Drosophila melanogaster: one gene and its partner. The protein of the gene in region 1 interacts with the protein of each later gene in a pairwise test. Each region holds a gene or a part of one and is shown in the gene's direction. Other genes may lie near its edges. The genes, in order: Boh1 and Boh2.

Evidence for each region.
Region 2: the proteins of Boh1 (region 1) and Boh2 interact in a two-hybrid assay, tested with the Drosophila melanogaster proteins (2 studies listed by BioGRID).

Annotation. Positions count from the first base shown.
Region 1 is NT_033777.3:27,917,588-27,921,224, reverse strand, and holds Boh1 (buddy of Hmr 1), read left to right. Parts: upstream 1-1,764; 5' UTR 1,765-1,941; coding exon 1,942-2,967; 3' UTR 2,968-3,041; downstream 3,042-3,637. Other genes in the region: CG12259 (uncharacterized protein), read left to right, coding at 231-1,310; mRpS22 (mitochondrial ribosomal protein S22), read right to left, coding at 3,042-3,637.
Region 2 is NT_033779.5:11,177,440-11,181,242, forward strand, and holds Boh2 (buddy of Hmr 2), read left to right. Parts: upstream 1-1,592; 5' UTR 1,593-1,792; coding exon 1,793-2,551; 3' UTR 2,552-2,991; downstream 2,992-3,803.

The DNA of each region.
Region 1 (3,637 bases):
TCTTTTTGCTCTTATATCAGGGGAATGGACAGCTAGTAAATTTTAAATAATTTCAAGATTAAATATTTTATTATTTCAAATTGGTAAGGTAGTGTTTTGTGCTGTAAATTTTTTATACGAAGAATGGCATTTTTCAATGTTTCTGCTACGGTCACACCAATTGGATGTTTACAAATTTCGTTTACGAATTAAATAAAAAAAAATATAAATAAATACAGAAACAACTAAGGATGGCCCACTACAAAGGTGCCGCCAGCGAGGCGGGCCGTGCAGCCCAGCTGATGAAGAAGCGGGAGATCCAGCAGCAGGAGATCGAGTTTCGCAAGAAGAAGATCGAGGAGGAGCTCAAGCTGGACAAGATTGAGAACAAGTTTGCCACCCACTACGATGCCGTGGAGCAGCAGCTCAAGTCCTCGACCATTGGTCTGGTCACCCTCGACGAGATGAAGGCCAAGCAGGAGGATATAGTGCGGGAACGGGAGAAGAAGCTCGCCCAGAAGAAGGACGAAAAGGATCGGGAGAAGCAGCGCGCCCTGGAGGCCATTCAGGCGGAGAAGAACAAGCAGAAGCGGCAGATCCAGGCGCTGTCCTTCAACCTGGACGACGACGAGGAGGAGGAGGAGGAGGACGACGAGGATCACGATAAGAAACAGCTGAAGATTAAGCAGGAGGATCAGCCCAAGCCCAAGTGGACGGAGATCAAGGAAGACATTTTGCCCATAAAGAAGAAGAAGATATGCAAGAATCCTGACGTGGACACTTCCTTTCTGCCAGATCGCGAGCGCGAGGAGCAGGAGAACAGACTGCGCGAGCAGCTGCGTCAAGAATGGGTAATGCAGCAGGCGGAGCTGAAGGACGAGGACATCTCCATCACGTTCAGCTACTGGGATGGCTCCGGCCATCGGCGGAACGTGCTGATGAAGAAGGGCAACTCCATCTACCAGTTTCTGCAGAAGTGCCTGGAGCTGCTGCGCAAGGAGTTCATCGAACTGAAGACCGTAATGGCCGACCAGCTGATGTACGTCAAGGAGGATCTGATCCTGCCGCACCACTATTCCTTCTACGACTTTATCGTGACCAAGGCACGCGGCAAATCCGGCCCGCTCTTCCAGTTCGACGTCCACGACGATGTGCGCATGATAAGCGACGCCTCCGTGGAGAAGGAGGAGTCCCATGCCGGAAAGGTACTCCTCCGCTCCTGGTACGAGCGCAACAAGCACATCTTCCCAGCCAGCCGATGGGAGCCCTACGATCCCACCAAGTCCTACGACAAGTACACCATCAAGGACAAGGATAAGAGTAAAAAGTAGTGCTTAGGGCAGTTTCTGCCCGAATAATTGTACAATATAATAATGATTGATTTAATACATCAAAACAAACGAAAAATAACTACAATTTTTATTTGATTTTTCCACCAGATTTACAATCAGTTTAATTAAACTATTATAATAGGCATTGAATGAAATATAAAATATATAACAAATTTATGTTTGCTTAATACAATTTTGAATTCATTAGAAAATGTCATACTTCTCATAAGAATACCCCTAATTATTTAAAATGGCACTGTTAAGAGAACTTGTTGCTAAACAAATTTGGTAGAAATTTTAGTTTATAAACACAGTATAATCAGAGAACATGCAGTTATTCAGCACTTCGTATTGATTGCCATGAAAAAAGAACTGTTAGATTTATATTTTATTTTAATTTTTTAATATTCCAACTGTCATAATAGTCAAAAGAAGTCGGATATGGCGGGAAAAAAGCTAGCCCGCCAGCACCAATAGCAACATTGAATTTTTTGCGCCAGTAAAATTCGCGTCTTTTTATAAAAAGCAAGCGTAATTAATAACAAAAATAAAATAAGTTCCAAGTAAAATGTGAATTCATTTTTCGGATACGTATCGATTTAGTGCCATTTGAGAACCCCGAACCAACGAAATGTACCCGGCGCAACCGGCAAAGGTGGCGTTGGCCGGTCAACCGATATCCGCCGGAAAACCACCACGCCACAGCCCTGTTCAGATGAAGTCTATCCCTTTGCCCGTCTTCGAGCTGCCGGAATACGTGTGCGTGGAGACCAAGTGGGTGACACGCAAGTACGCGATAGAGAATGGCATTCCAGTGAAAGAACTGCATGCCCCGATCACCAATGGAGGCGCTACAGAGTCTCCCAAGAAATCCGTACAGCAGAAGAGACTCAACGAGGTCACTGGAATGTTTGCGAACGAGGCTATGGTGCCGCGCAGAGAGCGCGCCATTCAAACAGAGAATGCGGGCACTAAGGATGCGGGCATTCAATGCCGTCGCGATTCGGAGGAGTGGTATTTACCAGAGGAACGGCCAAAGGATACCGGTTCTGAGGCCTCCAATTCCGACAAATTTCTCACCTACGTGAGCGAGAACACATTCATATTTCCCAACGGCATGATGGAGTGCGCGGTGTGCGGCGATGTGGCCAAAACCTTGCTGGAGCACCAGAGCCACATGACCGCGCACTATGGACCTGGTGCTCTGTGCTTTCGCTGTGGTCAGCGTCTGGACCACCAGAAACAATTGAAGCAACACAGTCTGAGCTGTCCCGCTCTAGCGCCCAGGAAGTCATCGATGCTCTTTAAATGCCCACATCTACTCTGCAACGCCATGAGCCACTCAGAGATGCAGTTGCTCAGGCACCTGAGAAACCATAGCGGCAGGAAGTGCTACAGATGTCTTCAGTGCAAACGTTACTTCAAGACCACCACCTCTCTTTTGGTACACCGAAAAAAAGAACAGAGTTGTGCCAAGGCGAAAGTGGTCGTCCTATTTCGCGAACACAACGGGTTGCCCAATGGAAGAGGTGATCCCAGACGTTGCTCAGTTTGCTTGAAGCGTTTCAGCAGCGAGCGGGTATGCCTGCGGCACCGGAGACAGTGCATCCTTGGCCATTTTAGACGGCTGTCCAGGGTCCTCAAGAAGGAGCTATGAACAGCGTATAGAAATCTTGACCTAGCTGGTATTTATTAGTACATAGAAATCGATAACAATAAAGCGAATAGATCCTACGAAGCCTGGACGCCGTGAGCCTTTTTCAGTCCCTGGAACAGCATCAGTTTCTCCCGGTTAACTTCCTTAAGCGTCTGCACCGCCAGCTCCAGTTGCACCTTCTTCAGCGCATGTTCGCTGGCGATGTACTGCTCAATGAACTTCAGGCTGATCTCATCGGCGGCGAAATCGTGCTCCGTCTTGCCAATGGCCGTATGGATCTCCTGCTCAATGTTCTGCTTATTGTCATGTCGTCGGAAGACGCTTCTTAGCTCCGCCAGGGCACTTTCCGCCGGCGTGGCATGCAGTTTGCCCAGTTCGGTCAGCGTTGCCTGATACTCCACTGGGATGTTGTGTAGCTTGTAGCTCAGAGCAATCAGCTCCACGGCATTGTGCAGATAATCCCGACGGATCATGTCATACAGCAGGTCGTCGATGCAGCGGTGCCAAGCGTAGAAGAAGGCCATGGGTCCAAAGTGGCGGGTGGAGCGCAGAAGATCGAACTCCTTGGACTCGTTGAGATGCTCGAACACACGCGCTGAAATGTTGTGGAACTCCGGCTCATGTGGCTCGTACTGCACCAAGAGTCGATCCAGGATGAACTCGTACTTGT
Region 2 (3,803 bases), on another chromosome or scaffold:
ATTAGTCACGGCTATCAAAGAGTAAAAACTTTAGCAACAATATGTTTTAATATTGTTATATTTATTCGCAAATGCATAACTTGAAAGGCTATTTTGTAGATATTAAATGCAACTAATTTGCCCATTTTGTTAATATGTTGACAGACTACAGCCCATAGATTAAAAATTAATGAGCTCTGAAAAATGGAAACTTTTGTTGTTTTACAAGTAGGCAACTAGTTCTAACCAGCAAGGATTACGGAGTCAGAGAAGCTCTAAAGGATGGCCCACATTTATAAAGATTTGATAGAAGAATTGATAGACCTGGTTTGATCTGAATTCTACCACCCCCTGAGTTAAACTTTATGGCCAAAATGGAGTCTGCATGTGAGCATAGGACCAACCATGTGACCATTGGATGGATGAGGGGCAGGAGAGCTGATGGGATGCCCACAGGCATCGCATGCTGAGTCAGATGGGAGTGCATCTTGCGCATTTGGGCGCGATGGAGATGGAGATCGAGGATGGCGGATGGACGTGGACGCCTGCACTTATTAATGCTTAATAAATGGCATTTCATTTCTTATTATTCCCGGACTCGGGACGAAACGTGTTGGAGGATTTTATTGCACTGCCTTTCTGCCGACTGCAGTTGTTGTCGTGGTTAATGCGAGTCGATATATTGGCCATGACTAAGGATGCAGATGCACGAAGGGCCTGGCCTGGCCTGGCGTGGTCCGAGTTGGCCCATTCCAATCCATTTCCAGACGGAGTCAGTCAGTCGCTGTGTGCTAAAGTAATTATTTCATTTGAGCCAACAATGAGGCTGCAACTCTGAGTTCGCCGAGATGGATGATTGACGAGTGGAAATTAAAGAAGCTGGCGGCTGGAACTGTCCAGCCCGGTCCAGTCCAGTCCAGTCCGGTCCGTTCGCTGTTTCAGTACTAAAACCCGCTGCTCAATGTCCGATCCGAGCAGCATCTTTTAACGACCAGCGTTCGCTCTTAAAGTACTTGGAATGTAAATGAAGCGGGTGCAACTCCATTCTACTCCACCCATCATCCGATCCGTCGTCCAGCTCCATTTGCCCCGTTTCGAGGTCAGCGCGGTGGTCGTTGCACCCACGCGCCATTTCCCAGACACCTGAATGCTCTCACCTCGATTATGTATGCAAATTATTTATTATCTCACTCTGCGAGAACTTAATGTGTTAAGAAGGGCCCCATTCTTAATTGTCTTCATTAGCTATTATGGTCGCAAGCTTCAAATATAGTTTTAATTAATGTTTGTTCAGACAACTATAGACATAAAACATATACAAATAATAAGTTAGTAATTGAGCGATTTTTTAGATTGCAAGGCAAAAATAGAAATGCGTTGTATATGTTCAACTTAAATCTTAATTACTTTTACAAGCTAAGCTATACTAGCATTTATGTTCTAACAACTAATATTTAATAAGTAATAGCCAGAAATATCTAAAAGCATTTTTTGCTTTCTTGCAATCGCCAAAGAATTTTCGAATTTCCCGCTTTACGCTTATCGGTCTATCAACATGCGCAACGGCACTCTGGTATTTTATGGTATTTTTCGTGGTATCTTCGGGAAACCTGTGATTCCCTAACGCGTGGTTCACACTACAAAAAAAAAAGACAACGCTGAGTTTTTAACATTAAAAACGTTTTTTAAACCACTAAAACGAGAAAAATAAATAAAAAATAAGTTTGTGCGTGATCGAAAAGCGTTGGCCGATTTGCAGAGGAGCAGGCAATTCACAATCAGCTGCCGTGAGAACTGTCGTATAGCCAAGACAATGCAGCAAACAAATCCGGCTTCTGGCGGGGATGCGCTGCTTCCATTGCGCACCTGCAACACCACCGGATGCAAAGTGGCCACTGTGGTGGAGAAGACGAAGAGGAAGTGCTCCCAGTTCGTGTCCGCGCCGTACATAATGCCCAAGCCACTGGTAGTCAATGGGCACACATCGATCTTTCAAGTGGGCGGCGAAATGGCCCATATGGGCGACATTCCGGCGCTCTCGAAAATTAGTGATGGTGGACAGCTAGTATACCGAATAAAGCCGGGCACCCATGCCCATGTCATCAACTATGTGATCATCGACGAGGGCTCCGACTCGCTGGAGAAGGCCAGATCCGGCGACCAGGAGGCCATGCGTCTGCTGCTGGAATCGCAACGTGACAGTGCTGCGTCCAAGCTACAAAAGTTTTTAACCAACCATAAGGGAACTCCGCCATCGGGCTATATTTCATCGCTAATACTATCACGGCCAGTGGCCAGCGTCTCAACGTCTGCGGGCACTCCAGCGGCCACTGGCCATGTGACTACTCCTCAAATCCATCCGAACTTCTCCATCGCCAGCGTAGAGGGTGCAGTACCATTTAGACGCGCCGTTCCACCCTTGGCGGTGAATCCTTCAGCTCCAGCTCCAGTTCCTTCAGGCCCTCTCCCAGCTGTCAGTGCAGTTCAAGCTGACTCCGTGGATCGCCTTCAGGCGGAGCTTGTCGAGTTGCGACGTACGGTGGCGCGCTTGGAGGAGAATAGTCGCCGCTAGATGACCGACTTCCCTTTGCGGAGGAATACTTTAGTTAAGCCAAAAACGCTTGGGTCAACTACTACAGCGACCTACCCTAAATATAGTTAATCTAGGCCAATAAATTTAGTATAACAATATTGTGTGTTTCCTAAATGTATATCCACATAAATCTAAAGTTATTCAATAAAAAACTTATGAGAAGTGGGATTGCTTAGCTCATAATCATTTTAGATCGTTATCAACTTATGATCTGCTATATAAATTACATAGATGTTTTCAAACAATTAAGACTGGAAAAATACAAAATTGGTTAATGTTTAAAGGAAGAATACTTCATCATCACCAATGCAGTTCTGTTTAGCAATGATAATCATTACCAAAGTTGAATTGAAATATGTTTAATAAAAATCTATCGGAAAAATAAGATAAAAAATTGAATAAATAAATCTAATGAACCCAATAAGCTTTTGTCATTATATAAGTACGAATGATCCTAAAACCCGTTCCATGCCGAAATCATATCAGTTTCGCAAAGGATATTAGTTTCTGGCAGCCAAACGGGCCAAACATCAAAGCACTCAGGTTCAAGCTGGAAGTGCCGCAGCGCAGACCTGTCCAGAGGAACAGGCGGAGTGCGGACGAGCCCAGTTTCCGATTCCTGGAAAGGTACTCTGATCGCCAAGCCCACGAGACGGGGGACTGGCAAGGTGAAGGGGCATCAAATCCAAATGGCCAACTGCGCCGATTTACTCTCTGTTTTAGGCAAGTAGTGCGCCACTTTGAAACGTTGCGATGGCGTGCCACATGCCTCCTGCTCTCCTTAAAAAAAAAATCGCCATTTTTCGAACTTAACATTTTTTATGTTGGCAGAAAGTGAAGAGACCGAGTCGCGTCTTAAGGAGCCGTAAACGTGGCATTTTATGTGTCATCAACGGAGGCGGCGGCGGCGGCGGGTTCACTCTCGTTTCGAGCGCGAAAACCTTGCAATCGAACGTAAATTAATTTTTATTGCTTGCAAATGCAGGGACTGTCCGGAGTCGGCCATCAAATTATCCCAAACCCGATCCCTGCTGCCACATGAAAGGTGTCCCCATGGATGTCCGTGAATGGACGGGGTATGTAGCATAAACAGACGAAATTACTCCAGCGAAGGAGATCTTTAAATCAAGTTAATTAAAGGAATTATTTGTTCAAAATAAAATTTGTTAAATTTTAAATATTCATTCATCCAAATATTCACTATATGAAATAAAGAAAAAATTATTATTAA